Linked DNA regions of Rhinolophus ferrumequinum. The protein of the gene in region 4 interacts with the protein of the main gene of each other region in a pairwise test. Links are inferred from orthologs where the notes say so. Each region holds a gene or a part of one and is shown on either strand. Other genes may lie near its edges. The genes, in order: XAB2, BICRAL, KIF3C and CDC5L.

Evidence for each region.
Region 1: the proteins of CDC5L (region 4) and XAB2 interact in a two-hybrid assay, tested with the Homo sapiens proteins (2 studies listed by BioGRID and IntAct, with this or other methods). The link is inferred for Rhinolophus ferrumequinum from reciprocal best matches to the Homo sapiens genes CDC5L and XAB2.
Region 2: the proteins of CDC5L (region 4) and BICRAL interact in a two-hybrid assay, tested with the Homo sapiens proteins (2 studies listed by BioGRID and IntAct). The link is inferred for Rhinolophus ferrumequinum from reciprocal best matches to the Homo sapiens genes CDC5L and BICRAL.
Region 3: the proteins of CDC5L (region 4) and KIF3C interact in a two-hybrid assay, tested with the Homo sapiens proteins (2 studies listed by BioGRID and IntAct). The link is inferred for Rhinolophus ferrumequinum from reciprocal best matches to the Homo sapiens genes CDC5L and KIF3C.

What each region holds. Positions count from the first base shown.
Region 1 is NC_046301.1:56,686,520-56,694,212, reverse strand, and holds the start of XAB2 (pre-mRNA-splicing factor SYF1), read left to right. Parts: upstream 1-4,546; 5' UTR 4,547-4,614; coding exon 4,615-4,665; intron 4,666-7,693. Other genes in the region: PCP2 (Purkinje cell protein 2 homolog), read left to right, coding at 1,058-1,066, 1,405-1,519, 1,819-1,943, 2,670-2,789; protein PET100 homolog, mitochondrial, read right to left, coding at 2,913-2,996, 3,324-3,356, 3,515-3,601, 4,271-4,297. UniProt on the Homo sapiens protein: Involved in pre-mRNA splicing as component of the spliceosome. Involved in transcription-coupled repair (TCR), transcription and pre-mRNA splicing.
Region 2 is NC_046286.1:12,313,289-12,321,137, forward strand, and holds the start of BICRAL (BRD4-interacting chromatin-remodeling complex-associated protein-like), read left to right. Parts: upstream 1-4,397; 5' UTR 4,398-4,477; intron 4,478-6,097; exon of another isoform or gene 6,098-7,849. UniProt on the Homo sapiens protein: Component of SWI/SNF chromatin remodeling subcomplex GBAF that carries out key enzymatic activities, changing chromatin structure by altering DNA-histone contacts within a nucleosome in an ATP-dependent manner.
Region 3 is NC_046296.1:54,369,395-54,378,022, forward strand, and holds the start of KIF3C (kinesin-like protein KIF3C), read left to right. Parts: upstream 1-5,416; 5' UTR 5,417-5,962; coding exon 5,963-7,498; intron 7,499-8,628.
Region 4 is NC_046286.1:13,593,890-13,601,572, forward strand, and holds the start of CDC5L (cell division cycle 5-like protein), read left to right. Parts: upstream 1-4,162; 5' UTR 4,163-4,281; coding exon 4,282-4,326; intron 4,327-6,613; coding exon 6,614-6,717; intron 6,718-7,683.

The DNA.
Region 1 (7,693 bases), on a different chromosome or scaffold from region 4:
GTTTCCAGAAAGACATCTTGGGGAGGGGATGGGGTGTCAGTGGGGTCCTCCCAGTGGCATCCTTTCCCAGGGCACTGAGGGAAAGCCATAGCTGCTCAGGGGCGGGGTGGGGCTTTCCTCCTTGCTTCCCTCCCCAGGAGTCAGCCTCTAGTCCCCAGGTGGGGCTGAGGGGACAGATTGGAGGAGACAGCTCAACTTGGTATTGAGTTGAGGAGGAGACTCGGTGGGGAGATAGGAGATCCCAGACCTTGCCTTGGGGCCTATGGGGGTCAGCCAGACCCAGGGACAGTGAGTAGGGGGAGGGATGGCCAGGAGACAGAGATGGCACTAGGCTGGCTAGTGGTGCCTCAGGGGTCTTCAGGTCCAGCTTCCCCTTCCCCTACCATCTGCAGATGGCAACTGCCTTCCAGTATGGTGAGACAGTCCTGTATTTCTTCCTGCTGGTGGGCTTGCAGACCCCACCAGAGCTGCTCTGTTGGCTTCTCCTCTCCCAATCGGGACCAGCCAGCCTCTGCTCCCCACTGTTGCTGCACGCCACCTGAGAGTTCTTGGGGGCCAGTGAGTCCTGCAGGATCAGCAAGGTCCCCTCCCAGGTCACCAGTACTCTATCCCCATGGCAACCCCAGCATTGCACAGCGAAAACAATTATCTGGATCATCTTTATGGGGCTTAAGCTTGGGTGGGAGCAGATGGGGTGTGAGCCGGGGATTTGGGGCTGGGTATCCACTCTCCCCACTTTTAAAAAGCCTTCTCTGGCACAGGTCTGGGCCAGAGGCCAGCAGAGAAGTGGACAGGGCCAGGGAGCAGGGACAAGAATGGACCGGGAAGAGAAGGTAGATGGGAGTTTAACCCCCTGTGTCAAGGTAAGCAGGCCCACCCCTACTCACCCCCAACTCCTCAAGAGCTGTGAATGACAAGACTGACTAGTTTGTAGGGCACCTAATTAGTGATTGAGTCTCCCGGGACCCCTGACCTAGATTGCTGGTAAAGGAGGTGCTGGTGGGAACGAGGGTCTGAGTGCCTACCCAGGCCCCAGGGCAGAGGTCAACGCTTTCAGATGGCCTGGGTGAGCTGGGGGGACGCTGGGGCTTGGGGGCAGCCTGTGGTATGTTTCCCTAGCTGCTGTCCCAGCCCCCAGGCTACCCTGCAGGCAGGCCCCAATCTAGGACTGCGGGACACCAGCGGCCTCTCCCTTGAGGTGGCACCACGTGAAGTGGCTCTGCTGGCTGAGCCCCGGGGGCAGGGGCTGGGAAGGAGACTTGTGTCTCATTCAGAGCAGCTCTGCAGAGCAGCACATCAGCGGGGACTATGGTGAGAGCCGAGGTGGAGGGGAGGGCAGGGTGGTAGTTGGTAAGGGGTCCCCCAACTGAGGGGCCAGCTGGACCAGGTGTGTCTGTCCCCCAGGCGGGCTCCCCGGACCAAGAGGGCTTCTTCAACCTGCTGAGCCATGTGCAGGGCGATCGGATGGAGGAGCAGCGCTGCTCACTGCAGGCAGGGCCAGGAACAACCTCCGAGAGCCGTGAGTGGGCAGTGGGGGAGTAGGGGAGGTGTGCTTTCTGGGGGTTGCGACGGGGCAGACTGTAGGGGTACAGGGCAAATGACCATCTGGGGGGCCTGTGGGCAAGAGTCTGTCTGAGAGAGTAAGCCAGCAACTGGGGACACAGATGCCTGTGGGTCTGGGGGTAAGGGTGTGGGGGAGAGAAGAGCATGCTTCCTGGAGAATGTGAGTGGGGGCAAGGGGTGGGCCGGGGCCTTCAGCTGGGCTGTGTTCCCTGGACTCTGTGTGTGTTCATCCCTACCTGCCACTACTCCACACAGAGAGTGGCCCTGCGCCGGAGATGGACAGTCTCATGGACATGCTGGCCAGCACCCAGGGCCGCCGCATGGATGACCAGCGTGTGACAGTCAGTGCCCTGCCTGGCTTCCAGCCTGTGGGTCCCAAGGTAGGTGATGTTCTGCTGGGGCTGAGGAGACACCAAGCAGGCTGAGCCCCCTAACCCTGCCTCCCACCCCCGGCCCGGAGTGAATGGCCCCCCCACCTCTGTCCTTCATGTGTCCCCTCGTGATGAATGCCTAGGAGAGCCACCCTGTGTCCCTGTCAATCACGAGGCCCTGGCCAATCTAATACCTGACTGCAGACAGGAGGATGAAGGCCCACACAGGGCCAAGAGGTGCCCAAGGTCAGGCAGGGGCCCTGTTAATGTCAGAGCCACGGCTGGAACTCATGGCTCCTGCCCCCATGTATGAGGGTTTCAGGGAGGCCAGAGAGAACAGAACACCCCTCCTGGGAAGATTCTCCCAGGGCGAAGGGCCCATGAGCTCATGCACAGGACACATGCATCCATACACTCGTGTGTATCTATGTCACATGTAGTCATGCAGAGATTGGGTTCTGATCAAACCCCAGTGTGATCCCCAGGACCCCCACCTCACACCCAAATACCACTCTAAGTGTCGAGTAACTAAGGTATGTAGAAGCTTGGAGATGGTGGGGGCAGATGGTGGGAGCTGGGACACTGGTTCCAAACTGCACCCTCCCTCCACTGTTTGTGTCACCTCCGGCCCGGAGGTGGAATTGACACAGGGCTTCCAGTGTAATTGTGCTCCTCCGCTCTCAGTTCCCTCCTGCCCTTGGTCCCTCCCTCTGGCTGACCTCTCTTCATCCACAGGATGGAATGCAGAAACGAGCCGGGACCCTCAGCCCCCAACCCCTCCTCACCCCTCAGGACCCGACTGCTCTCAGCTTCCGTCGGAACAGCAGCCCCCAACCCCAGACACAAGCCCCCTGAGGGCCTGAGCTGTCCTGGGCCCCACTCGGGCCCCCTGAAAGCAGACAATAAAAACACTTTCACGAGCAACAAAGAACTGACTGTGTGTTATTTTATGGATGGAGGGCCTGGGACTTGGAGGCTTCAGGAGCTTTGCTGGGCACTGCGAAGGAGTTTCTCCTCCCGCTGCTTCCGTATCCTCTCTTTAAATTCTTCTAGCTCTTGGCGCTGAGAGTGAGGAAGAGGTGGGATGGGAAGGAAGGAGGGGGGCACATACCTCAGGGCCTGGTCCTTTCCCCCACCACTCTGCCCCCTACTCCCCAGGCCACAGCTTCAGCGTTCAGTGTCTACACTGGAAGCCCTGTGCCAATTACAAGAAGGGCCCAAGTGGGATCAGCTTCATCCTTCAGGGAGAGGACAATAAGGAAACCATGTGCTCCTCCGCTCTCAGTTCCCTTCTTATGACCCAGGGTAACATTTTCATTTGAATCCATCAAGGCCAAAGGGACCCAGGCCCTTCCATCCCTCTGGTGGGAGGAGGAGTATGTCACTTACCTGGTCCTCCTTCTCAGGTGGCCACAGCTCCCTCTGTGGGGACAAAGTCATGGATGAGCCAAGAGCCTCCAGAGCCCCACACCCAAGGCAGTTCAGCTCATAGGAGGCAGACATTTGTTCCTAGCAGGTTAGTGCCCCATACCCTCCCCCACCCCCTGCAATGAACCCTTGAACACTCTCCCTGCACCCACCTTGCGCTGTATGACGGTGTCCTCAAACCACTCGGCCTGATTGGCAATCCAGAACATAGCCACAGGGAAGGTGAGGTAGAGTGTCATCTGGAAGGTGGGGAGATGGGAGAGCAGAGCCAGCGGTAATCACCTTCCTCCGAAGTGCTGAGGTTGCTCAGAGCCTGGAGGACCATCCTCTGGCAGAACCCAGAGGCATTTCTTCAGGGCCCCCCAAGCAGCCTGGGATTATGGGAGTCTAGACCCCATAATACAAGAGCCCTTATTTTTGAAAGCTGCCTCCAAGTAAGGGAGACTCCCTCTCAAAAAAAGACACACACTCCTGGCCCCAGGAGTACAGGAGCTCCTACCACAAGCATAGGCATCTCTTTGAGACTTCGTTACCCAGCTTCCCCAGGTCAGTTCCCAGGAGCACTCCAAACCCCTCATTCTTCAGAATCTACTCCCCTAGTCTAGGAGTCTCCCTATCGGATACACACACACACCCATCCTGAGCCCAAGAACTCCCCCAGAGTCTGGAGCCTTCCGTCTTAGAGCCCCCACCCCCGATCACCCCTTTTAGAGGCCCTTCCTCACACCAGCCTTCCCGGAGCCCCCCGAACCGGGCGTCCCCTTCTCTGGGTTTCCAACCCTGAAGGGCCTTCTCAAATCTCAGCATCTTTCTCCCCAGAGCGCCCTCTCTTGGAATCCCCTTTTTTTACAGCCTCCTTCTCAGATCCAGGAAAACGCCCCCGCCCACCCGCTCGAGTGCCCACTGACCCGAAACACCTCCAGCTTCACCCCCATTTCGCTTCTCCGAGGCTACAAAGCAGCTTCCGCCCAAAGCCACCCCCCTCCAGCAAAACAGCAGCAGCTCATTGGGAATTCGCGGGACCCACCACTGAAGCTGATTGGCCGACGAGCCCCGGATGACGTCATCTCCGGGCTCCTACTCTCTGCTTCTGGTCGCTAGCGACGTCTAAGTGAAAGTCAACAACTTGTGTAGCAGTCTCGGGATGGGGTCAGCCAATAGAAAGTGAAGCTGGAGGGGGAGGGCGGGGTTGGCCTGCAGAGCAAGACGTCATTCTAACGCGACTCCTTCCTGTCGCTGGAGAGCCAGCAAAATGGTGGTGATGGCTCGGCTCTCGCGGCCCGAGCGGCCGGACCCTGTGTTCGTGAGTTTGTTGCGGGGCAAGGGGTGGCCTGTGTGGGGACATAGGGGCTTGGATGCCGCAGGCGGTCAGGGCCTGGCCCCCCGGGGATCTAGGCCAAGGGCGGGAGGACCGTAATGGGCCAGAGGCCGTATGGTGATGTCCCGGTCAGGCTGGCCAGGAGTAAAGGTCTGGTGCCGGAGCCCGGGGGCCTGAGCAAAGAACTGCTGTCGAGGTTAAAGCTCTGGCGTCCCGGGCCAGGGGCGGAAATGGGAGCGGGAGAGGAGGGAAATTCGAATAACTGAATAATTGAGAGGCCTGGTGTCAGAAGTAAAAGCATGGTGACCAGGCCAGGGCTCTGGGTTTCTGTGGTAAAGGCTTGGTGTCTTGGGTGACAGCCTAGATCTGGTCCTCAGCGTCATAGTTTCTGGGATAAAGGCCTGGTGTCTGGCTAAGGAGAACCCTGGGGTCAGAAGTAAAGACCTGCTGATGTGAAGCTGGTCAGGCAATGGCCAGTGGAATCCTGAAGAGGCAACGACTTGGTGTCTGGAGTAGAGGCCCAGTATCTTCGCTAGGTTCTTGGTGTTGCCCTGCGAACTCAAAGGCAGTCTGGAGGCTTTAGGTAGAAATGACTAGTAAAGATTTATTCAAGGGTCTTAGAGTTTGCAAACTGGAAACATAGCGAGGCAGAAACCCAGAAGTGTTCTAAACAGGAAAGAAAAGTTGAATTCTTATGGTGAAAAGCACGTTCCTGAGAGTAATCAGTTCTGCATTCTTCACCTGGAGGGTCTCGGAGGGTTATCAGTCAGATGTCAGATGGTCTGGATGATGGACATCAGGTGGCCTGCATACTGCCTTCAGGGGGGTATTAAGGGGGTTTTCTGGAGGTCTGGTGTATATCCACGTATTGACACACAGTGAACTGATGTATATATCCAGGCAGTGACAGAAGACTGGAAAGTTCAAACGGTCAAGTTCCCATGATAGTTAAAACAAGAATATATGCATTGCCTTGTTTCTCAGTCTACTTGACTTTTTAGTAATTTAGCAGCTTGACTATAGTGACACTATTTTCTTTTTTTTCTTGTGTTGAGGATATTTTCTTTTTACCCATCGCCCCCTTTTGCAACCATCAGATGGTTGTCCATACTGATGGATCTTTTTCTGTTTTGTTTTGTTTTCGTAGATTCCACATATAAGTGAGATCATACGGTATTTGTCTTTTCCTGTCCGACTTATTTCACTTAGCATAATACCCTCTAGGTCCATTTGTGTTGTCACAAATGTCAAGATTTCATTCTTTTTCATTGATGAGTAATATTCCACTATATATCCCATTCTTTACCCATTCAACCATTGATGGACACCTGGGTTGCTTCCATATCTTGCTGTTGTAAGAAATGCTACAGTGAACATAGGGGTGCATTTATCTTTTTTGAATTAGTGTTTTTGTCTTCTTGTGATAAATACACACGTGGAATTGCTGGGTCATAGGTAGTTCTATTTTTAATTTTTGAGGAATATCCATACTGTTTTCTATAGTGGCTGCACCAATTTATAATCCCACCAAAGAGTGTTTGAGGGTTCTCTTTTCTCCATTTCCTCACTAGCACATGTTATTTGTTGATTTATTGATGACAGCCATTCTGACAGGAGTGAGGTGCTATCTCATTGTGGTTTTGATTTTAAATTCTCTGATGATTATTGACGTTGAGCATCTTTTCATATATCTGTTGGCCATCTGTATGTCCTCTTTGAAGAAATGTCTATTCAGGTCTTCTGCACATTTTTCACTTGGATCGTTTGTTTTTTTGGTGTTAAGTTGTATGAGTTCCTTATATATTTTGGATATTACCGGCTTATTGAACGTATCACTGGCGACTATATTCTCCTGTTCAGTAGGTTGTCTTTTCATTTTGTTGATCGTTCCCCTCACTGTGCAAAAACTTTTCAGTTTGATGTAGTCCCATTTGTTTATATTTTTTGTTGTTGTTGCCCTTGCTCAAGGAGATATATCCGAAAAATACTGCTAAGATGGATGTCAAAGGTTTTACTGCCTATGTTTTCTTCTAGGAGTTTTATGGTTTCATGTCTTACATTTAAGTCTTTAATCCATTTTGAGTTTATCCTTGCATAACGTGTAAGAAAATGATCCAGGGGGCCTGCCCGGTGGCGCAGGCGGTTGGAGCTCCGTGCTCCTAATGCCGAAAAGCTGCCGGTTCGATTCCCACATGGTTCAACCACAAGGTTGCCAGTTCGACTCCTCTACTCCTGCAAGGGATGGTGGGCTGCGCCCCTGCAATTAAGATTGAACACGGCTACTGGACCCGGAGCTGAACGGCACCCTCACAACTAAGATTGAAAGGACAACAACTTGACTTGGAAAAAGTCCTGGAAGTACACACTGTTCCCCAATAAAAGTCCTGTTCCCCTTCCCCAATAAAATCTTTAAAAAAAAAGTGATCCAGTTTCACTTTTTTGCATGTATTTGTCCAATATTCCCAGCACCACTTATTGAAGAGACTGTCTTTACTCAATTGTATATCCTTGCTTCATTTGTCATAGATTAATTGACCATATAAATGAGGATTTATTTCTGGGCTCTCTGCTTTATTCCTTTCATCCACATACATGCTTTTATGCCAGTACCATACTGTTTTGATTATTGTAGCTTTGTTTGAAATCAGGGAGCATGATATCTCCCACTTTGTTCTTTCTCAAGGTTTATGTGGATATTTGGGGTCTTTTGTAGTTCCACATAAATTTTAGGATTAGTTGTTCTAGTTTTGAGAAGAGTGCCATTGATATTTTAACAGGTAGTGCTTTGAATCTGTATATTGTTTTAGGTATAAGGACATTTTAACAATATTAATCCTTTCAATCCATGAGCATGGTATATCCTTTCTATTATTTGTATCGTCTTCAGTTTCTTTAGTATCTTTTCAGAGTACAGGTCTTTAATCTCTTTGGTTAAATTTATTCCAAGGTATTTTATTCTTTTTGATGAAGTTGTAAATAGGATTGTTTTATTAATTTCTCTTTCTGATCATTT
Region 2 (7,849 bases), about 1.3 Mb from region 4:
AAACAGTTCTGCGTGTACTCCTTATCCTTGTACTAAAAGCCTGTAGGAGTTCAGATTTTTTTTTTTAAGTCTGTCAAGGAAAATAACCAGCTTGAAATATGTCATGACTAGAATAGCCTTCGTCTCTACAAAGATGATTTGAAGTGTTTATATTCATGTATCAAATAAAATAATAACGTAGGCAGAGTATTGAAAACATTTGTAATCGCTCCAGATAAATTTATTTACCATTGCTTTGAAAATGATTCCACATTACTTCTAATAATAGTATTAACCACAATAATAATGACAACTATTATTGAATATTTACTACATACCAGGCACTAAAGCCAGGGTTTTGTGTACCTAATATCATTTCTCTCTCCCCCTACCAACCTGAGATATACCGATAGGTATTGTTACTTTTATTTTACAGGTGAGGAAACTGAGGTAAGCAAATTTTAAAAAGTAGCGTAAGATCACATGGCTAAAAAGTGACAATGAAAAAGCTCTAACAGATACGGGGGAGTAGGGAACCTTAAACTATAAGGCTATACTGCCTGTGATCAATTGGGCAATGGTTTTATGTGGTTCAGGGAGGACTTACTGTACTCCTTTAATATACAGGGCTCTAGGTTGAGATACACTCATTTCTCGTATTCTTACACATCTCGTGGACAGGGCTGTTTTCCTTTTATCATGCAAGTATTGATTGTGAGCTAACTATGTCCAAAGTACTCTGCTAGGCCCTTGGAGAATGGAAATCCCTTGAGGAGCTCCCTATCCAGGAGGGAACATGAGAGAGATATGTGAGGTTGAATTATATGAGATTGCCCCCTGGGGAGTTTCCACGGGAAGATTTTACATGGTTCAACCTGACACACAACCAAAACAAGGCGCCACGCTAAACATTTTACATGCATTAGTTCCTGAATCCTTAAAATAACTTTCAGACACGAGTACTATAATTATCCCCATTTTATAGATGAGGAAGTTGAGGCACTGAGGGGTGAAGAGACTTGCACATAGCCACATACCTCGTGTCTGAGAAAGGTGGAATTGGAGCCCAGGTCAGTCTGAATACAGAGCCAGTGCACTTAAGCCCCAGAATGTAAGTTCCTCTAAAGGTACACATAAAGGTATGCACCTTATTTATACACATTGAGAATTCTTACATTTTCATTTCACAAACACTACATAGAGGGCTTACTAATTCATCTGGTGTATTTTGGTATTTCTGTGACCTGGACACATCTGGTCATGCAAATCACCACCTCAGCTCCAGCATTTGCATATTCCCCTCTGAGAATGGCCAACATTTGGAAGAATACAAAAAAACAGAAGCATTTTCACTTTTAATTGTTATGTGGACGTTGGGCCTGTTAATTGGAAGGCCCAAACACATGCTAGAACATTTCAACTATAATTACATCTTTTTTTTTTTTCCTGTGTCCAGTTGCCCTTCTTTCTAGGTCACCAACACAGAGGGGAATCATAGGAATGACCATTTAAGTGTATATAATTAAATTATAGGCAATGCAGTTCAAGTTACTTGCATATAGTCAAGCCATTTTAAGAACCTTTCTCTTAAAAAGTTTCCTAATCTTACCTTCAGATACCAAAATCCTGTCTCTATATACCATAATTTAAATTTGACATACACAGGCCTATCCCTTATTTAAAATGTTTTTAATCACGTGGGAAAAATTAAGTTGTTTTTGTTTTGTTATGGTAAATGATTTCAATTTTGGGGGTGCCTCGAGCTGAGGTGGTGATTTGCATGACCAGATGCGTCCAGGTCACAGAAATACCAAAATACACCAGATGAATTAGTAAGCCCTCCATGTAGTGTTTGTGAAATGAAAATGTAAGAATTCTCAATGTGTATAAATAAGGTGCATACCTTTATGTGTACCTTTAGAGGAACTTACATTCTGGCGCTTAAGTGCACTGGCTCTGTATTCAGACTGACCTGGGCTCCAATTCCACCTTTCTCAGACACGAGGTATGTGGCTATGCGCAAGGAAATTCTCCCCACTGCTGTCCCAATATTTTGTAACTCTCCCAAATTTAAAATCACACAACTGACATTCTCCAAGTAGGTCTTTACTAAGCAGAGGGTCGTCCCCTCTGCCTATGACAGCACTGAATCCTGTTTATATTGAAACAGCAAGATCCTTTTCAGGCCTTGAAGAGAGGGTAAGTTTTAGAATCCATCTGACCTGAGTTTCTCCCACCAGTCTTTATTAGGCTGATGACCTGAGGCAAATTACTGAAATTATTGGGAACCTCATCTGCAAAATCAATATAACTAAGCCTTACTGTACAGGTTTTCATGAAGGTTCATCCAATAACGTATATACGTATCTAAGTGGCATGTAGTGGGGCTTCAATAGATGTCAGTGCCCCCTGTATTTGGGTATTCTTTCAAAATCCTGCAGTAGCTATACTCTTTATGGGAATATGAATTCAGTTTTGTTTGGCGATCTTTTAAAGTCAGATTTGTGTTTCTTTGGGGTTTTGACCAACTTGGGAGAATAGCTTTCTGAAAACCATTAATATTTCATTGGAGCTGTGGAGCAACAGTTGTAAAACTTGCTTGGTGGGTCTTAATTGCAATCATGCATGGACTCTTTTGAAATGTAATTCTTCAAAATGGGTATTATATAATTAAATTCCAACCAATCCAAAGGCACTTTAAAACATGTTTAAAAATTTCCCAAGCCAATTAGAAAACTGGTTGGTCCAACTGTCAGTGTAGAAAAATATGCTAATTTATGCAAAGACTACTGTTCCAGGAAGGCCTTGGCTGAATGTGAAGCACGTGTGAGAAAACACCTCCATGATACTATGTGATACAAAATCACTAAGTGTATTTTTAAGGAATATCTAAATACAAAGCATGTATTGTGAACGGACAGAGTGGCAGTTACTTGAACAAGATATGGTTTGTTTTGTTTACAAGATCTTCTATCTTGAATATGACAACATTTGTGCCTACCTTGAAATATTTATTTTGTGTGCGATATAATAGTTACAGTATCCTTCTAGAAGCAAGTAAGGTGCACAACCATTACCTTTAATGAAGCTAAAGGGATACAGAAACCAAATAATAATTTCATGTAAATAATTTAAATCCAGGGATCATTTTACTTAGAATTTACCAAACATCTGGGGGACGTGGTTTTGAGCATTCTGTTCATCAGCAGAACCCCGTTGCTATATGCGTTACAAATTAATTTAAAATAATTTTAGACCATTTCTGGGGCTTGCCTATGCATTTTTAAAATCTGAATCACATTCTTGTACAATTCATCTTTTACCTATCCTTGTTTATTTAAACTAAAAGCCAACTACAAACCCCCCACTGTATTTTCCTGGGCATTTACAGGACAAATCAATGTAGTTAATCTAGATCACAAAGGCACCCTCTCCCAATCCACATTATCATAGTTAACGTTTACTTAAACGCTCTGTGTGCTAGATGGTTTATGGAGATGTCTCCACAGTGAGATTTGAGATTTAAAATGGGTGGTAATTACACTTAAAAGGTTGGGTAGCTCCCTTTTTAAAACGGGAGATTATGTAAGGAAAGTTCCACAAATGTGGCGATAAAGTATATCTACATGTAAAGAGAAGGCAGTGGGAACTGGATGTGTTGAGAGTGACTTACTCAGTTCCTCACCTTCATCTTGGCCGCTAAAGTTGTTTTCTTTTGTTTTTTTCTGTTTAATGTTGACATACAGGCTTCACAGATGAGGTTTCACACTATTTTGGAATGGAAAGAGAGGGTGTTGCAAAGGAAAGCTTAGTACATTTAAAAGTTAGAATGAATCAGTTATTTGCGAAATACTAACTAAATTAAAAGTGACGCTTTAGTTTTTCTTTTTAAAAGCATATGCAAAAAGTATTTACTGGGGCTTGTTCTAATTAGTGTTCTAAACAAATATTTTTGTTTTTAACACCCTCCCCCGACTTCGAGCTAAAACTGGTTGTGTGTGTGTGTGTGTGTGTGTGTGTGTGTGTGTGTGCAGGGCGCCTGCGGAGAATAGCACGCATCTTGTAGTAGATCTTAATTTTTTTTAAAAGCCAAATAAACCTGTTTCTTAAATAAACCAATACATTTCTAAAGTTAAACAGAACCCCAAAGGAAACAGGAATTAACAGCTTTGGAGCTTGATTTAAAAAAAAAAATTTTTTTTAAATTAAAATCCTAATCTCCACATTTTTTGTTAGGCAAGAACCGAAGTTTGGAGGTAGACGAGCAGGAGAGCGGTTTGCCCGGGCGCAGAGCATGAAGGCCGGGCGGGCGCGGGGAGCGGGCGCCCGCCGCCCGGCGCGGGGGTGAGCAAGAGAGAGAGCGGAGCGCGTGTGGCCGGCGCCGCTCGGCCGGGAGCTCCCGCGCCCGCGCCCCGCGCCCCGCGCCCGCCGCCGCCGCCGCCGCCCCTGGTGCGATGGCGCAGAAACCCCGTTGACAAGGCACTGCTTTTTCATGACGGTGAGTTTCCCTTTGAGTGTATTATAATTTTGTGATAAAAATTTCAAGGAGAAAAAAAAAACACACAACCTCCTTCCTCTGCCTTTTTCCTTCGGGGAGGGGACAAGCAAGAAAGGGGGGGGCTGGAGATCTATCTCCAGACAGACAGAAAAGAAAGAGGAGCAAATTAAACACCGAGTTGCCAAAACCAGGATATTAGGTTTCAGCACAGAGAGCTATTGGCTAAGGCTGTGTTTTTTTTTGGGGGGGGTGGGTTTGTGGGTGGGTGATGGTGGTGGTGGGTGGATGTTTAATGGACACAGAGAAAAGGGGAATCGAGTGTTTATACCTTTCCCAGCGCCGCCCGGGCCCGGGAAGACCAAGTTCACTGTCTCGGGCGGGGGCGCGGGCGGGCAGGGGGTGGCGGGGCCGGGCCGGGGGCGCCTCGGCGGGGTGGGGGCCCCGACGCCTTTTTTTTTTCTTTTCCGCGGATGCAAATTTCTGGAGCGGGGAGAGGGAGAGCCTGGGAAGGGGGGTGGCGTGGCGGTTGGTGGTGGGGAGGAGAGGGGAGGGAAGCCTTTTAATGACTCATTGATTGAGCCGATTTAAAATTAGTTGTGTGCGCGAGTGTGTGTTTTCCGCCCCCCGGAGCCGCCGGGAGCCGGGAAGGAGGGAGCGGGGCTTGGCGAGGGGAGGACGGCGCGGCGGGGCCGCGAGCAGGGGGCAGGGAGGGCCAGGAGTGACGGCAGGCGAGGAAGAAAAATCAGCTTTTCCAATCTCCTCCCCTCTGTTTCCCCCTCCCCCACGATTCTTTTCTCTCTTGGAAGCTCTTGGGTGTGAATCGCATTTTCTTTCTTCTCGGCAAAATGGACCCCGCGTCTCGGGAGGGGGAGGGGTCAGGGTGGGGAAGGAGGCGGCGGCGGGGAACGGGTTTGTGTTTCATCCTGGTTCTGTCCTTCCCGCCGCTTCTGCGGGCGGCCGCGACGAGGAGAGCGGGGTCGGGCCGCGGAGGGGAGCGCTCGGGGCCGGCTGCCCGCCCGGCCTCCCCGGCCGGGTTCTCGGCGCGTGCCTGCCGGCGGGACTGCCCCTTCCCCGCCGCCTCGCCGCCTGACTCGGAAGCACCGCCGGGGAGCCGCGGCCGGGCCGGGACGAGTCCTCCCGGCTTGCGGAAGACCCGCCGCTCAGCCAGGCGTCTCCTGCGGGGCCCGTGCGGCCGGCCGGGCCGAAGAGGAGACAGACTCGGGTGGCACTTATTTTGGCCGACAGTGCGCGGGCCCAATGCCGTTCGCGCCCCCCGAGTCGCCCCGAATGCGGGATCTTGCGGTGGGGGGGGTGGGGAGCGGCTGGAAGGCGCTAAGATGGCGCTGGGCCTGGCTCGTCGCCAGGGCTGGTGGCGCAGTTGCTCCGCGGGCGCCATCTTCCCTGGCGGCGCGGGCGGCGCCCTTCGTGGGCGCCGCGCGGGCCCCGGCGCCGTGAGATCGAAGCCGGGGGGAGCCACGCTCTGGGTGCGGAAAGCTGCCCATGGGGCCGGGGGCCGCACTGCCGAGCTCCGGCCTGGGTAGCTTTGTCCTTCCCCAGACCCAGAAGACCGCCGGCTCGGAGGGGACAGGGGCTGGGGCCCCGCGGCATCTTGCTCCTTACCACTCAAGTGTGAAGAAAGGAGTGGGCTGGGGGTCGGGCCTTGCAGCTGCTGGGTTCCCACCCTGAGCCTGGATCCCTGCGGCCAACGTTGGGGTGAGGGGGTTCCCGTCTTCTCTCCTACGGCCTGAAACCAGACGGCTTTGTGTCCCTGGTCTGGCCGCGGGCAGGGCATTGAGGCTTTTCCTTCATCCTCTTCCAATGAATTTTGCGAGTAGAGTCAAAGCAGGTTACAAAATTGCAAAAAAGTCCAGGACAGTGTGTGCCTGCCTTCCAATAACTTGGTTCTCTTTAGGTACCCAACGTTAGGTTTGTTTTACTTGGTTATATTTTAAAACAACCCTGGAGAGACATTTATCTAGTCAAATTGTGGAAAGGTAATGGGTTCCAGTGATTTGAAACTTCTTGATGGTTTTCATACTACTTTTCCAATGGTAGTATGTTAAAAGTTTCTTAGAACTCTGATCTGAAAAATTAAACTCGCTTTGAAATACTCACTTTGAAAGACTTTCCCCTTTCTCTTTCTCAAAAAGAAAAACTGCTCTGTTTTGGGTCTTGCTCAATATAAGGCTTCTCAGTTCCTCAACTCACTAGTTAGTGTCTCCTAACAAACAAAAGCTCATAGACACAGACAACAGTTTAGTGGTTACCAGAGGGAAAGAGGGGAAGGGGAAGTTAGGAAAGGTTAATGGAGGTCAAATATATGGTGATGGAAGGAGATTTGACTTGGGGTGGTCAACACAATGCTATATACAGATGATGTAGTATAAAATTGTACATCCCAATAAATTTTTAAAAAGCAGAGAGCAAATGAATATTAGTCACTTCTGCTTTTGCTGAGGGCCCATCCTGGGGTGAGTGGCTGTTGTCACACCAAAGGTGTCTGCTAGCAGTCATCAAGGTATGTGGTTTGAATCGAGGACATGGGGTAACTCATTAGCTAGTCAGTCACACTTTATTAGGGCAACAATGAAATTAATATGTAAAAGTTTTAAGTCAAAATAATAGTTTTATCCCCAGGCATGGCGAATCTTAAAGACCAGAAAATAAACATCTCTAAGTAGAACAACCCTGCTTCCTGAGATGAACTTTCAGTGGTATTGAATGGGTATTTTAATCTTATAAAAAGTGGTGTTTCCTACCAAAATATTGTTCCAAAATATTGCCATTTCCTCTGTACTGAAGACAAGATTAAAGGGCAAGCAGGGAGTTGGCAGTAATGCTTTTCAAGTTGTATTCTGATCACTGTTTTTAAATAACTTGATCGATAAATAAGTTACATATAATAAGATTTATTCATTTCTAGTGTTAAAGGTTTCCTTCAAAGCATCTGTATAAGTATCTGTCCTGTAGTAGCTCCATATTAAGAAAAGTTTGGATTTTAACTTTGTCACTGAAAAGATTATTGGGAGAATGAAAAAAATCTAAAGCTCTCATCTCTGAGTCGACAGAAATGGAAAATAGTTAATTTCTAGTAGTGAATAAAAGTAACAGTGGCACCAGTAAGTGTGCCCTTGTGTTTAAAACACACATACACACACACACAATAGTGGATGTTTTAGACCCTTAAATTAGACCTACCATACATTGAACACTGCTGTATGCCAAGAACTGTGTTTGGTGCTTTATTTAATTCCTGTTTGTATCGGTCCTGCAATATTGATTTTATTATCTCTTTACCAGGGAAGGAACTAATGTTAACAGATAGATGAACTGTTCAAAGTCTTGCAGTTTTAAGTGGTAGAATTGACGTTG
Region 3 (8,628 bases), on a different chromosome or scaffold from region 4:
TAGAAAACAAAAAATAGGATACCCAATTCTATATAAAGTATGGTGAAAACTCTTCAAAACATGTTCTTAAATTAGTTTTGTCATGAGAATATTAAGTATAACAAAGTAGAAGAAATCCAGTTGGGGAGACAAAATATTTTCATAGATGGATGGATAATGCCATTAAAAAAAAAGTAGACACTAATTGTCACAGGAAGTAAAGACAGAAAGCGACCCCTGGGGCTGCAGGAGGCAGGGACGTCTGTACTGAGGAGGCAAGAGTTGAAATGGATGTTGAAAGAAGAAGGTGGAGTTAGTCCAGGTAGGGCCTGGATTGAGAGATGAGCCTGGGGCCCAGTACAGGATGGTGGGAAGAGTATATAGGCTTTGGAGTTGGGGAAATTAGACTCCAGTCCCAGTACCACCTGGGTTAATGTGAAGGTTAAGATAAATCATCCACAATCCCCCTAATAGGTGTTCAATAAAGGGTAGCTCCTAAGGATAGCGCTTTTTTAATATTCAGATTTTTTTTAATTTCAGATTTTTCTGTTCTTTTCAGGAAGGGCATGGGGAGTTGACTCAAATCCTATTCACCAGAAATTACAGAAGAGGGAGGGGAAAATAATGTATTGAGAAAAGAGGAACTATAATTAATCTAGACTTGGACACAATTGGGGGTCTCTTGAATTAGATAATATCACAGTGCGTGAGAGCCCAGAAATTTGGATCTCATCCATTGATTTTGTCACATAGTCATGTCTCCCTCTGCTGATAGAACATGGTTTTACAGTGTAAACCCAAATCCTGAATTACTTGGACCTGAAAATTTGCAGCCCTCAGGATTACTAAAGAGTTAACTCTGTCTTCTTGGCATAATCTCTGCCTGGCTGTCACTGGAACCATGCTGGAAGAAGAGGTTGATATGGGAATCCCCTGGGGAAAAAACAACTTTCAGCAGTGAAGGAAGCTTCTTCTTTTCAAGTCAAAGATGGGTCTGAACTCCAATGAAACTGTCGCTGAAACCAGGACTGGGAAGCAACTGCTCTGCCATCTCCACGGTAAGCATTCCTTGTGACATAGGGGGAAGACCCCCAGGGTTGCAGGTTTGGAGTCTGGAGACTGACTATGCCACTTGGTGGGTGGGTTTCCTTCCTTAGTCACTTTATTAGCCTGAAGCTTAGCGTCCTCACAATATTAATATTTTCCTCTTTCTTGGGGTTGATATGAGGATCAAGTGAGTAACATATGTGATAATACTCTATTAACTGTAACTCCTACAAATGTAAGAATTTATCACTATTACTTTTTTTATTTTGCCTCCCTGTTTTTTTGCCCTGAAGGTCTTGGAACATTCATTCACTTAGCAACTGATATTGATTACCTAAAGTGTATATAGTACTGTGCTAGGTATGGGGAAATGAGACACAAAGACAAAAACCACAGCTTCTGTCTTCGGGGAGACGTACATTATGTTGAGGGAGACAGATGCCGTTAACCACAGTACAAGTCAGACTAGCTGTGAGACTAGTTAACAATGAGCTATAGAATCGTGAGGAAAGGAAAGATTAGTTAGAAGGCAGAATCAGAGGAGTCAAAGGAGGCTTCCCAGGAGAGGTAATATTCATATTCATAAAAAATAGTTATTGAGCACCTACTATGTGCCAGGAACTAGATTAGTCATATGGATACAAAAAATGAATGAAACAGACATATTATGTCTTCATAGAACAACAGAGAAGGTGGATGAATAATTATTTAATTACAATTATGCTAAGTTCTGTGAAAGAAATACAGGGATGAATGAGAACATATTACAAAGGGACATAATCTAGATGAGGAAGTCAGGAAAGGTGCCCTCATGAAGTGACATTCAAGCTGAGAGCTAAAGGATGAAGAGTAGGTATGTAGGCAAGGAGGATGAGGATAATTGTTCTGTGCAGCTGTACAGAATGTGTAAGGGCCCTGTGGTAGGAAGTTGGCAGGGAGTTGGAAAAGGTCATTGTAATGAGATCAGAGAGCAAAGTGGAGAGTGGCATGAGATGTGACAGGAGACATGAGACGTTACCAGATCATGTAGGGCCTTGGGGCCTGCATTCATGACATGGGCTTTCCCTTAAGAGCCATGAGAAGCACTGGAAGGTTTTAAGCATGGGGGTCACGTGTTATTAAAAGATTATAGAGAATGGATGGACGGAAACAAGAGCAGACCTAGGCAGACCAGATTGGAGGCGACTGTAGGAGGCCAGACGAGAGATGCCATCATCTCTTGGGTCATGATACTGGCTGTGGAAGTGGAGAAGAAGTTGATAGATCTGAGAAATATTTAGGAAGTTGAGTTGATAGGATTTGGTGTTTGAATGGATGTATTGAGGGTGGGGAAAACGTTGTTTACAGAGCTAGCAAATATTCTGGGAGGACCAAATTTGGATGGGAGAATGGTAGAATTTCAGGATGCATAAGAGCCATTCAAGTGGCTATGTCCACTAGCGAATTGGATAGATAGATTTGGAGCTCAGAGAAGTCTGGACTAGAGATACAGATTTAGGAATCATTTAGACAATAATTGAAGCCACAGCTGTAGTGATCACTAGAGGGTGGCATGAGAAGAAAAACAGGATGTAGGACTTAGTGTTAGTGAACTCCAACACTTAAGGTTGGGGTTGAATGAGATCAACTGGTTAAGGAGACTGAAACTGAGCAACCAGGACTCCTAGGAGCTGTAGGAAGAAAACCAGAAAAGTTCAGGGCCATGAAAACCATGGGCAGTGAGTCTGACAAAGAAGGAAGTGGATGATTGAAAGGGGCCCACTGGAATTGGCCGTGGAGTTCACTGATGTCCCTGGTAAGGGAAATTTCTATTGAGCGGCTGGAGGAGAAGCCATATGAGATCGAGTGGTGGCATGAAGAGAAGGTGAGGCTCGGTAGACAGGGACAAAGGTAGGAGGACATTTCAGGCCAAGGAGCAGCATGAGCAAAGGCATGGAGATGTGAAAAAGTAGTGTGTTTGGAGGATCTTAAACAAACCAGAGGGACTAGAGACCTGAGTATTTAAGAGGGTAAGGTGGGGAAGGATGGCTGAAGACCATGCTGAAAAGGGAGACAAAGAATGTGAACCACCTGAATGCAAAGGACAAAAGGAGGGAACATTATTTCTTGAATGACTTCTATGCTCTGGGAGTTTTCACATACATTATCTCACTTAATCCTCTTGTAAACTCTGTGAGTCACGTAAACATTTTTATCCTTACTTCTCCCACTGAGAAAAGAGCTGTTCATAGAAGATGAATAATTTCCTCAGAGTCGTAAATCTTGTCAGTAATGGGAATCCAGTCTCCCTCTCATATGGGAGGATCTGGGCAAATGCCCGGCCAGGTGGTAACATCAGGTGGGGAGAACAGGGCCGGAATCCCTTTTATCCAGCGCCGTAGTGTCAGGTGAGTTAGCCAAAGCAGAGAAAGGATAGTCCAGAAACCAAAGCCAAGTGCAACACGAAAATAGTTCAAGAGTCAAATGGTCCATCCAAAAGTCAGGTTGCCAGAGCCAAGAGAGGTTAGTCTACAAAGCCCAAATCCCACCCAGTAATTGGTCTGAAAGCCAAGTTAATCACAAGCAGTGGAGTTTGATGAAAGAAAGGGCTAGGAAGCCAGGAAACGTCAGAAGTGGGCCAGCCACCAGCTAAGCCTCAAGCTTCCATTTGAGCTGGCATTCAGATCTTGGGGATTTGAAGATGGGGAAGAAGTGAGGAGACAGATTCTGTAGAGTTGAACAACTAAACAACTAGGCTCTCTAGAGAATAACATGATTGGAAATGTTTTGTAGACAGATTCTTCTGGTGGCTCTATGAAGAAGCACCTCGAGATTTCAGATAACAGCACCTCCTCAATCTGGATCTCATATGGAAGGTAAAGCTAACTGGGGCCCAGTCCACAGATTCAACTCCCCTCTGCAGAGTGGAACATGGGTAGGCCACTGGCTTGGTCCTTGAACTTGAGGAATTACACTTGATTTATATCCTACAGGAAGAAAATATGAAGACCCCAAAGAGAAGCACCAAGCACAGACCTGGCATATCCAGAATGCTGGAGGAAGCAGGAACTATCAGGCAAGCCAAGGCTATGTGCGTTATTAAGGGCTTACTTAAAAATAAGTCTTCTCATTGGTACAATACTTTATGATTCATTGTTTCATTTGAGACTCACAACCACTCCCTGAAGTAGGTATTATTTCTCTCCCCCTGTTCTGATTTCTTTAAACAGATGAGGAAACTGTGGCTGGGGCAAGGTAAGAGATGCCCAGATTCACACAACTGTGTGAAGGTCAGAATTGGAACTGGAACCCAAGTTTTGTTTTATGCAAATTCTGTGTCTGTTTCAGCTACGGAAAAGACATTGGTCAGGGAAGGCTTCACAGAGGAGGTGCTTGAACTCCCAAGTGGCAGGGCAGCAAGTGCAGAAGGGTGACAGGGTCCTCTGGACATAAAGATGCAACATGGCACAGCCAGATAAACAAAACATGGTTTCTAGAATGGGAGCTCCTTGAGGACAGGAAGATCCAGTTCCTTGAATGGGACCTGGGTTTTGGCAGGTGCTGGATAACTCTTTGAAGGAATGGAATACAGATTCTGTACAGGAGTAGCTGGAAGGGAGGCTGGGAAGTAAGGCAGGGGTCAGAAGATGGAGAGCCTTTTATACAACAGAGAAGGTGGAGGAGGAGGGGAGGGGACCAGGTTGCAAGAGCAGAGAACAGGTGAGGAGAGAATCAGCTGGAAGGTGGTTCCAGGAGAGAGAAGAGGAAGGCCAGAACTAAACCAGGGTAGGGAGAAGAAAGGACAGAGTAAAGAAACATTTGGGAGTCAGGATACCCGGTGACACCCTGCAAGGGAGCAGTGACATGTACCGTCTGCAAGCAGAAAGGCTGGAGCATTGGAGAGATGGAGGATGGTGGCTGTGGAGCAACAATGTTGGGTGGTGTATCACCCCCTTTCCCCCACCAGGTAAGCGGCTGCAACCTCAGCAGTCACTCCAGGCGGTTGCATGCCAGAAAGGGTGGGGCCTCCCGGACTGGGGAAGGCAGCAGCAACCTGCCGGATGCGGGTTAACAAAGGCAGGACTACAACTCCCAGCATGCTCAGGCCCAGTGGGGTGACGGCGGGCGGTGGCTGCGCTGCACCCGCCTGGTGGGCGCAGGACGTGGGTCGGCCCCCGAGCCTGTCATTCCGGAGGGGTCTGCTGGGGTGCGGGTCGGCGATGCACCCCTGGACCCCGCGCACCGGCATCGCTGGGCTCGCATCTCCCGCCCCGCGGCCCCTCCCCTTGCCCCACCCCAGCCGGGCGGCTTAGCTGGGGCCGCAGCGCGGCTGCAACATCACTCTCGCCGCCGCTGCTCCGCCCCATCCCCTTCTGTTTTTCTCTCATTCTCGGGTGGCGGCAGCGGAGAAGGCGGAGGCAGAGGCAGCAGCAGCAGCGCTGGCTGCGATGAATGATCCCCCAGCTGGGGGAGAGGACTCCAGGTGAGCCTCTGCCCTCTGGAGGGCCGGGACCCCCGGCCGCCCAGGACCTGCAGCCACCGCCATGGATCCCTAGAGGCGGGGGTGGAGGAGGAGGAGAAGACAGCCCTGCCGCCCACCCCCATCCCATTTTCCTCTTCCTTTATCTCATTGTTGCCATAGCTGTTTACGGCAGCGCTCCTCTGCCCCAGCATGGGGCGGGCTCCCGGCACTGCCATTCGGCCGGCGCGGCTCCCGCGGCTGCCCGGGGGTTCTGCCTAATTCTCTCTGCCCAGCCGGTGCAGCGGAGAGTGGAGGAGGCCCGGACTGCAGCAGCGGCGGGGCCACCTCCCAGCATCCCCACCCTAGGAGGCTGCATGCGGATTGAAGAGCGGAGCCTGGGGGCTGGGCCGGCCCTGCTGATACCTACCTAGGGGGGACCACCGGACTGCCCGGGCTGCGGAGGGGGCCGCGGGCCGGGAAAGATAGAGGAGCAAGATGGCCAGTAAAACCAAGGCCAGCGAGGCCCTGAAGGTGGTGGCCCGGTGCCGACCCCTCAGCCGGAAGGAGGACGCTGCTGGTCACGAGCAGATTCTGACCATGGATGTGAAACTGGGCCAGGTGACCCTGCGGAACCCCCGCGCTGCCCTGGGGGAGCTGCCCAAGACCTTCACCTTTGATGCCGTGTATGATGCCAGCTCCAAGCAGGCTGATTTGTATGATGAAACTGTGAGGCCCCTGGTAGACTCGGTGCTTCAGGGTTTCAATGGCACGGTGTTTGCCTATGGCCAGACGGGCACTGGCAAGACCTACACCATGCAAGGGACCTGGGTGGAACCAGAGCTTCGTGGGGTCATCCCCAATGCCTTTGAGCACATCTTCACCCACATCTCCCGCTCCCAAAACCAGCAGTACCTGGTCAGGGCTTCCTACCTGGAGATCTACCAGGAGGAGATTCGAGACCTGCTCTCCAAGGAGCCCGGCAAGAGGCTGGAGCTGAAGGAAAACCCGGAGACAGGTGTCTACATCAAGGACCTCTCCTCCTTCGTCACCAAGAATGTCAAGGAGATCGAGCATGTGATGAATCTGGGGAACCAGACCCGGGCGGTGGGTAGCACACACATGAATGAGGTCAGCTCCCGCTCCCATGCCATCTTCGTCATCACTGTGGAGTGCAGTGAGCGTGGCTCTGATGGCCAGGACCACATCCGTGTGGGCAAGCTCAATCTGGTGGACCTGGCTGGCAGTGAGCGGCAGAATAAGGCAGGCCCCAACACAGCTGGGGGGACAGCCACACAGTCCACCGGGATTGGCGGCGGTGGAGGGGGCGGTGGTGGTGGAGAGAGGCCTAAGGAAGCCTCCAAAATCAACCTCTCGCTGTCTGCCCTGGGCAACGTGATCGCTGCTCTGGCGGGCAACAGGAGCACCCATATTCCCTACCGGGACTCCAAGCTGACCCGGCTCCTCCAGGACTCTCTCGGGGGGAACGCCAAGACCATCATGGTGGCCACCCTGGGGCCAGCTTCTCACAGCTACGACGAGAGCCTCTCCACCCTGCGCTTTGCCAACCGGGCCAAGAACATCAAGAACAAGCCCCGGGTGAACGAAGACCCCAAGGACACGCTGCTGCGGGAATTCCAGGAGGAGATCGCCCGCCTGAAGGCCCAGCTGGAGAAGAAAGGGATGCTGGGGAAGCGGCTCCGGAGGAAGAGCAGCCGCAGGAAGAAGGCTGTGTCAGCCCCGGCCGGGTACCCCGAGGGGCCAGTGGTGGAGGCCTGGGTGGCCGAAGAGGAGGATGATAATAACAACAACCACCGCCCGCCCCCGCCCAGCCTGGAGTCCACCTGGGACAAGAACATGGAGAATTACCTCCAGGAGCAGAAGGAGCGGCTGGAGGAGGAGAAGGCGGCCATCCAGGATGACCGCAGCCTGGTGAGCGAGGAGAAGCAGAAGCTGCTGGAGGAGAAGGAAAAGATGCTGGAGGACCTGAGACGTGAGCAGCAGGCCACAGAGCTGCTCGCAGCCAAGTACAAGGTAAGGGCCCCAGAGGGAGCAGGGGCATCCAGAGGTCCCCAGAGGGATCTGAGCCAGCAGGTCTGTGACATGGCTTGAAGCATCGTGTCGTCCCCTTGCACCATACACTGCCTTCCTGCCAAATACTCCCCTGGAACAGCCAGGTAAATTCCAGGCAGAGCCTCCCAGGGGCACCTAAGAGGATGGACGCACACACACAGACACACACACACAAACACACACACACACACACACAGAGCAACGCAGGCAGGTGGTCTCTCAATGAGCGTGGGCTGGTCTGACCTGCTGCATGTCAGTCTCTGCCAGTGGCCCCCTAATAGCGGTCAAGTCCACGGGACGGCCAGGCAGGCCCTCAGCCTCATCTGGGGTGGGTTCTCACTCTTGCAGAGCCTCCTCCCTGTGACCTCCCTCTGCAGCACCTTCAGACCTTACACTGTTTTAATAATATCTGACATTTGGATAGCATTTCACAGTTAACAAAATGCCCCCCGTACACGATCTCATTTGATCTTTACAGTAGCCATCCAGGGTGCTGGTCCTTAAATCCCCATTTTACAGGTGAGGAACTAAGGCTCAGAGAAATGACATGTCCATGGTTACATGCTACGAAATGGCAGAGCTGAGCAGGAACCCATGGGCCTCGTGCTCTTTCAGTTCTTGGATGGCAAGGGGGGACTAGGAATGGATTCTACTCCCTGCAAAAGCAGTCCACGGGGCCCATGCGGGGCAGGCGCCACTGCATGGTATCATTTGGGGAATCACTCAGAGGCTGGAAAGAGCACGGGGCTCCACACCGGAGACCTAGAGTGTCGGCCCAGCTCTTCTACAGCTTATTGAGAGACCTTGTGTAAGTTGCTTCCTTTTTTTCCTCAAACCTCAGTTTCTGATTTTGTAAAATAGAAGGTTGGCCTGGGAGATTTCTGAGACTCTTCCAACCCGATCATTTTTGACCTGTATTAATTTGAGAAGCAAACCAGCTGACCCCCACACCTACGCCTTATCCCAGTAAGATCCAGTTCCCGTCGCCCTGAGAGGTATCAGGGCCTCTGTCCTTCCGGAGCTGATCCTCCCCCGGGGAGCCTCCAGGCCGGAGGTGGAGCTGAGCTGCAGAGGCCCCACCAGGCCAGCCA
Region 4 (7,683 bases):
TGTGAGAAACACGTACATGCCAAGTGAACACTTCTTGTTCATGAAGGAACCCAGCCTCAGATCAAATAAGAAGCCTAATATCCCGGGGACTTGTTTTCTGAGGAACTATGGCTGCCTCTCCAAATATGGAGAGGGTGTGGGGGGCCGCTTCTGGTGGTGATGGGGGTGAGCCTGGGTGTGATCATCTGGCTAGAAATGTGTTCTTTTGGTCGGGTGCAGTGTGGGCTGGAGTAAAAATTGGGGTTCCCTTAGAAAGGGAGGACAGAATGGATGCATGAGGCGTAACTATACTAAAATTATTTGTTGTTTACCTGAAATTCAAATGTAAGTGGGAGTTCGATATTTTTATTTGCTAAATCTGGCAACTTACAGCAGAGGTGGCACAAAGGAGAGGGATTTGAGGGCTACGTAGGAGGCAAGAGGTAAAAGTGGCAAGACTCTACATGGGATGGCTTGGATATGGGTGGAGGAAGGTATGGGAGGAGGAAAAGTGGCAGCAAGATGGATGTTGGTGCTGTCGACAGGGTAACATGTAGAGTCTACCCCTGTGGTATCTTTATACACTTCGAGAAAGATGTCCTCTTGGTGAACACAGTCCCACAATGTACCACTTGAGCAGTGTGCAAACTGGATTTCAGCTCCATTTGTCCCTTGTGCAGTGAACTACTTAAACCCCCGTACACGGCAGCTGGCAGCCTTCTGCTATTCACTGAAATAAGGAATCCCGTGGAGAAGTATAGATTTTCTGGGGGAAGTTCAATTTTGGGAAGTTGAAATTGAGGAGCCTGTGACTCACACAGGAAGAACCGTCCAGAATTTTGTTGGGCATTTAAGTCTGGGGTCTGGTATATGCATGTGAAAAAAAAAAAGTCTCTTGTGAGAAATGTAAATCCCAAGTCTGTGCCATGTGGATGCAGGGTCTAAATATAAATTACCCGACTGGAATATTAATCCTAAAATGAGAAATGAGCTCAAAAAGACCCTTGAACCTCTGGGGCCTGAGAAAAAAAATAAATTCTCTTTGGGAACACTTCCCCACCTGAGGGCACAGGGGACTCCCTAGAAATAACACTCATGAAGATGAGCTTCTGAGAAAAAAATTACAAACTACAGCTGGACCTACCACAGGGAAGTCTCAGTAGGTGAACCTCAAGCCAATTAGTATGATTAACCATGGTTAGCAATACAATGTGAATTACCAGCATTTAGGGTGCATGGGATTCCATTTTGTAATAACTTGACACCCAGACATTAATTTTTTCCAACACTAGCTGAGGAATTTCTAAATGGGAGGGAGGGGCTTAGGGATGGCAGTCTGGTAGATGGGGTAGGGCTAGAAGACTGTTTTGAAACTGTGTTTGCAAAGCAGCACAGTGTTTCTAGTTAAATTCCACCTGTTTATTTGGGGAGATGACGAAGATTATGGGAGTGGCTAATCCCAGCCCCTAACCATGCCTTGTTATCATAGGCTTTTGACCCTTTTTTTTTTAGCCCTTTTCTGGACAGTTTCTTGATGCAAAAAACAGGATGAAACAGAAACTAGAATTTTGATTGTTTTCTCTAATAAGCAAAGTTAGCCCAGTCAGAACCAGCTTCCCAAAAAGGGATGTGGGGTGGGGGATAATGCAACCTACAAAACCCTCCTGCTAACATCTCTTGTTACCTCTTTGTAAGCTGGATGGACCTCCAACCTCTTTCCCCTGGGCCAGAATTTCCCAAATTGTGTTTCCTGCATGTCAATAGCTACTATAAGAAAAAAGTTTTCCAGGGTCAAATTCGTTTGGAAAAGCCATATTAAAAAGGGAGGGTAGTGGTTTCCTAGGGCTGCCATAACAAAGTACCACAAACTGGGTGGCTTAAAATGAGAAATTTATTCTCTCACACACTATTTTGGAGGCTGGAAGTCTGAAATCAAGGTGTCAGTCAGGTTGGTTCCTTCTTGGGGGCTCAGAGGGAGAATATATTCCATGCCTCTCTCTTAAGCTTCTGGTGTTGCTGGCAATCCTTGGTGTTCCTTGGCTTGTAGATTCATCACTCCAACCTCTGCCTCCTTTACAAACTGTTTTCCCTGTGTGTCCACATCGCTTCTTTTTATAAGGACACCAGTGATTGGATTAGGGCCCACCTTACTTCAGTATGACTTCATCCTTAGCTTGATTACATCAGTAAAGACTCTATTTCCAAATATGGTCATACATATAGGTACCAGGGATTAGGACTTTGCACATATCTGTTTGGGGGATATAATTCAACCCACAATAGGGAGAAAACGATTTCTTCATCTTATAACTTCTTACAGGCTTTAATTTTGGTGACTCTGTGAAAGGGAGCTGACAGAGCGTACTGCTTTTTTCAAATTCAAGTAATTGTGAAAAATTTGTTTATTTTAATGGAGTATCCCAGTGTTCTGAGGAATATATTTGGGTGAGTGAGGAAGAAGTGGAGGCTCTTTCTCATTAAGCCTCTGTTTAGGAATGACCACTCCCTTTCCTAAAGGTTCACAATGACAGAAGGTACAGTTTGATTTACTGATGGTGACTGTTCCTCATGGCTGCCTTGTAAAAGATTTTTGGCAGCCCCTGGGGTGAGCTGGCCTCTTTGTGGGGGCCCTGAGGTCTGGCTGGGGAGGCTGGGGTGACATGGTGGGTTGGACTGGCCAATCCAGGCCATGCTGGAGGACAGCCTCTGGTGTTCATGGCTATGGGGCGCTGGTTTGAGACATCCCAGAACTGGTACGATGTTGCATTTTCTGAATGCTAACATGGAACATGCAACTTGCATGTTCAGGGAGGCCTTGGGGGATATCTGACAGGGTTGCTCTGTCTGAATGGGCAGGTTGTATAACGCATGCCCCTAGGGGAACCGATTCACATTGTAGATATGGTAGATCTAATTTTCTTATAGTTAAGAATGTCCTGTTCTCAAAACATTAGTATTTTGCGACGGTTTTCCAACAGATGTCAATAAAGTGCCTTGAAGAAAGGGCACCTTTTTCTAGTTGGTATAAAGTTGGTATAAATGGGGTAGAGGCGGTCCTGAGGGGGAAGGAAACACCATCATCATGGTGTTTGATCTGAAATGCTAGATCTGAAATGGCTCTCGAGAGGACTAGATTTGTTAGGAATCGTGCTTACAAATAATAGAAACCCAACTTCAACAGGCTAAAGCCCAAATGGGAACTATTCATTAGAACTCAAAACAGGGATGCATTTAGGACTGTTTTGAGGAACATACTGCATCTAGGGTCTTCTGTGTAGCCAGGACCTACCTGTCTCTCTACACTCCTGTCTTGCTCCTCTTAATGCATCTGGCACCTGCTTTTCCCCCATTTTAGTCTACATCGTACAAAACATGGTGGCTGACAACTCCTGGGTGTCACATATTAAGAGATTCATCAAACCAGCAGAGAGACTGGCCTCTTCTAGGTTCCAGTGTCAAAATTCCTGGGGAGAAGACTTAATTGGCTCAGCTTTGATCAGATAAATCAAACAGCCAGTATGTGCATGCGTGTGTGTGACACTGTAAGCACAGCAACTGAGATGATGTTGGGTGTGGAGAGGGCAGGAGGTAATGATCACACATCCTACAGAGGGTTTCTGGGACAACCACTGATCACGTGGGGTTGCCCTTCTTGTAATGATATGACATTTTGAGTAGTTACCATGTATCAGATACTGTGCTAGGTTTATGATCTCATTTAATCCCTAGGACAACCTTATGAGGTTGGTACTATTATTATCTCTACAGGTTAGGAAATTTCGGCTTAAATAAGCTCTTGCCTTTTCCTGAGTACTCCGTGCATAAATTCCTATGAGTTAAACGCCTAATAAAGTGATAAATTAATAATTTAAAAAGCTCTTTTCCGATCAACTGGGCTGAAACTCCACACGCATGATGTGCCCACTCTCCTCCACTAGGTGACGTCACGGCCAATCCCACCACCACGTTCCTTCTCGCGAAGATCGTGCTTTTCCTCCACCCTTCTTTGGCCGTGCGCGCCGCCTAGTGCGCTTTGGCCAGAGTGGATCGACGGTTTTCTGTTGGTCTTCCTATATTAGAATTTTAACAAGGCACTTTATTTTCCTTGCAGCCACCCGAATTCTCGCGATACTTGCAACTCTGCTTTCCCCCCCCCCCGCCCCGCCTTGCGCCTGCGCAGATCTTTACAAAGGAGAAGGTCGCGCCTGGAGGAAGTGGTGCCTTTGGGTCCCGTGGCCGCAGCGCCGTTACTACTTTTCTGAAGCTCCTCTCGGCCGCTTGCCGAGACACCCCACCGCCAAGATGCCGCGAATTATGATTAAGGGGGGCGTATGGAGGAATACCGAGGTAAGTCTCCTTTTCCCGCCGTCCGCTGCCCTTCGCCCCCTCCGGCAGCTTGTGCGCACGCGCGCGGAGGTGGGCGAGGAGGGGAGGATGCCCTGCGGGGTCTGCGTGGGGGAGGCGCGGGCTGGACCCTCCGGCCTTTCGTTCCCGACCCTGCGTTATCCGAGCACTTCAAGGACGGGGACCGTGATTTAACCACCTGACTACCTGCCAGGCACTTGTTAGGCCCCCCAGTGAACACCTCTTGAATTGAGGACGCGCCCCTCTCGCTGGAGGAACTCAAGAGTATGGAGGGGAAGAAGGGACATCAGCGAGAGTCGGTCTCCTGGGCACTTCCGTGCCTGAGCCCGGACACCGCGCCTCTCTTTGATACTCACAAATAAAGAAGTGCTGTGGCCACAACTTTGTTTCTTCATCGACTTCCTTGCAAAGGGAAATAAGCTTGAGTGCCAGGTTCGAAGAGCCCGTTTATGCCCGCATACCGCTGGTTATCTGTTATCGAGGCATAACTTGCCTGCCCTCCCCACAGGTCCCAAGGCCTGTCTCTTCCTGTCACTCTTCCTCACCCTGGATAGAAGCCAGATGGGATCAACTGACTTCAGTAGTTTCTTTGCTTCCAGAAATGTAGTGGATAGTGCCAGGGGTGAGCCAAAGAGCAGCAGAGACGGAGTAAAATAGAGATAAGGTGTTAGCCCAGTTTGTGTTCCTGAGTGCACCGAATTTGTCAGTTTCTGGAGCACATCGTATCTTTTCATGATCTGTGTCTTTTTATATCTTGTGCTTTCTTTAAATATCCTCCTACTACTTGGCATCTTCCGCCATCCTTCAAAACCTCTTCTTGGAAGTTTTGCCCATTCAGCCTGTAAACATTAGTCGCACCCCAGTGGTCCCATGGCTCTTCTCTCATCCATTTGTTATAGCTTGCTTTGTCCTTTTGCAGGCATCACATCCTTCTAGGTAATGCTGCGTACGTTTTTTTAACTTATCACAACCTCAGTTTTCTCATCTTTCTTATGGGGATCATAATAGCTGTCTCTTGAGGTAGATTAAATGAGTCTATGTATTTGGATCATTTAGAACAGAATCTGGCACATAGTGGTCTTTCCGTAAGTGCTACTTGCTATTTCTTTCCCCCAGCAGACAGCACTGGAAGAGAACCAGATCCCTAGAACCTAGGACAGTAACCAACAGGAAGTAGGTTGCTTGGCAAATGTTAGCAGAATGAATCTAATAGGGTAGATAACTTAGGTGAAGATGTGTTTAACTAGAGCAGTACTGCAACAAAGTTACAAGTAAAGTCAGTGATAACCTTGCATCATTGTACAGAGGGAACCAAGCCATTTAAACTGGAGAAGAGGTGACTTCTGGGGGAGAAACAGATGTACAAAATCAAGTAACAGCAGGACTCCCCTCCAGTGGCTGAAGCCCTGCAGTCTTTTTTAATCTCTGAGGATGGGAAAGTGGAGTGGGGTGGAAGAGCTCATGTGTGAGGCATATAGCTCAAGTTCAATGTGGGAAAAACCCTAAAAGCAAAATGCCCCCAAGTGCGTTCGTCTATGGCTCTGTTATCCCTGTTGTCTTTGGCTTAGCTTGCTGGGCTCCTCTGGGATTGGTTAATTCCATATTGGAATGGGTGCCACGGTGAAATAGTGTCTAGATACTTGGGGAGGTTGGAGGCGGGGGAGAAATTCTTAATTATTAGGTTTGACCTGGGATGTGGATTCTTGGATCAGAGTGGGGGTTATGGAATTGGAGAGAAAATGCCGTTTGTAAACTGGAGGCAGGAAACCTAGATTGGAGAATGGAATCACTAGAGTCTTAACTTGCTACTTGAGGGTTGGATATGTCCAATTCAAAACCTGATATAAGGTAGGTGTTCAGGAAATGTTCTTTGAATGAATGAATGAATAAGTGAATGAGCTGTATAATTTTTGAGGAGAATGAGAGTCATACTTTGGAGAATACGTTTTGTTACCCTCTATCAAGTAGGGTTTCGTAGATTGGGCTTTACCCATCTCAGTTTATTGGGGGTGGAGGGAGAGGCTGTAAAGAAGGGTAGGGTGTCCTGAGAGATGTCTTCTTAGTTTCTTGCATTTTGCTGATTCTGGCTTGCTGTTTATTATGATAGTAAATGAGATTTTTGTACTTTTTTTTTTTTTTTAAAACCTAGGAGGTATGTGTGTCTTTCTCTTTCTTGCTTGCTACCCTGTCAGAGTTAATTTAAATTTTGTCTTTTCTCGCTTGGAGTTTTGTGATTAAATATGTTGTTTTTTTCTGACAATTCTTTAAGGATGAAATTCTGAAAGCAGCGGTAATGAAATATGGGAAAAACCAGTGGTCTAGGATTGCCTCACTGCTGCACAGAAAATCAGCAAAGCAGTGCAAAGCCAGATGGTATGTACCAGTTAATGAATGGAAAACAGAAAAACGACCTTAGTTAAAATGAGGAAAATGTCAGTTCTTTGAAGCTTATAAAAGAAAGCAGGCATTGTGATATAACAGAAAGGATGGAGTGGGAGATGGGGATTTAGATTTAAGACTTAGCTGTCACTTGCTTCCTATGTGATCTTAGGCAAGCTATTTTTCTGCCCTCTCTCCTGTGCCTGTTTTCTTCCAATTGGGTGATAATACATCTTGGCCTTAACTGCTGGAGATACGAGGCTCAAGTGAGTTAATGTGCTAAAGAGTACTTTGTGAAGCATAAAATAATTCTCCTTTTATTTAGAGATGGACTCCAGCTTATAAATCGTGTTCCCAAAGTTTTAAAAGTTGATTAGAACTTACTTTCCCAAAGAAATAAATGATAAATAATGGTTAATTTTCTAGGCTAGTTCACAGTAGTTTTCTCATAATACAGTTGAAATATTGTATATTTGCTCCCCCAAAGTATAACATAACCCAACACTGCACCTGGGGTGTCCTCTTTTAAGTCACAGAGTAGTGGACACACTAAACTTTCATAGGTGTTTGTGGCATGAGTGATCTGGCCCCAGCGCTGACCCATGTGGTACGAGGACCGTATTTTGAATTGTACAAGAATGACCTAATTTCCTAGGTGCCTGGGTAGGGGAAAGGATCAGAATGTAGAGGTTGGACCCCAAAGAAGAAGATGGTCCTGATTTCTGTTTCTCGTAGTGGAGCTAAGCCCCTGTCCTAATGTTTGGTAAGGCTTATATTTTCTTTGCCAGCCTCTCATCTTGCTAAGTAGAATGGGTGGAAAAGGTGGGTCGGGTGGGGTATTAGGAAAGACAGATCATGACGGTAGTTTTGCTTACATGTAAAAACACAGCAAACAAAAGCAGTGAATATTCTGTTGTAAAAAAAGAACAGCTTTCATAATTAGTTACCTTGTATTTTTCA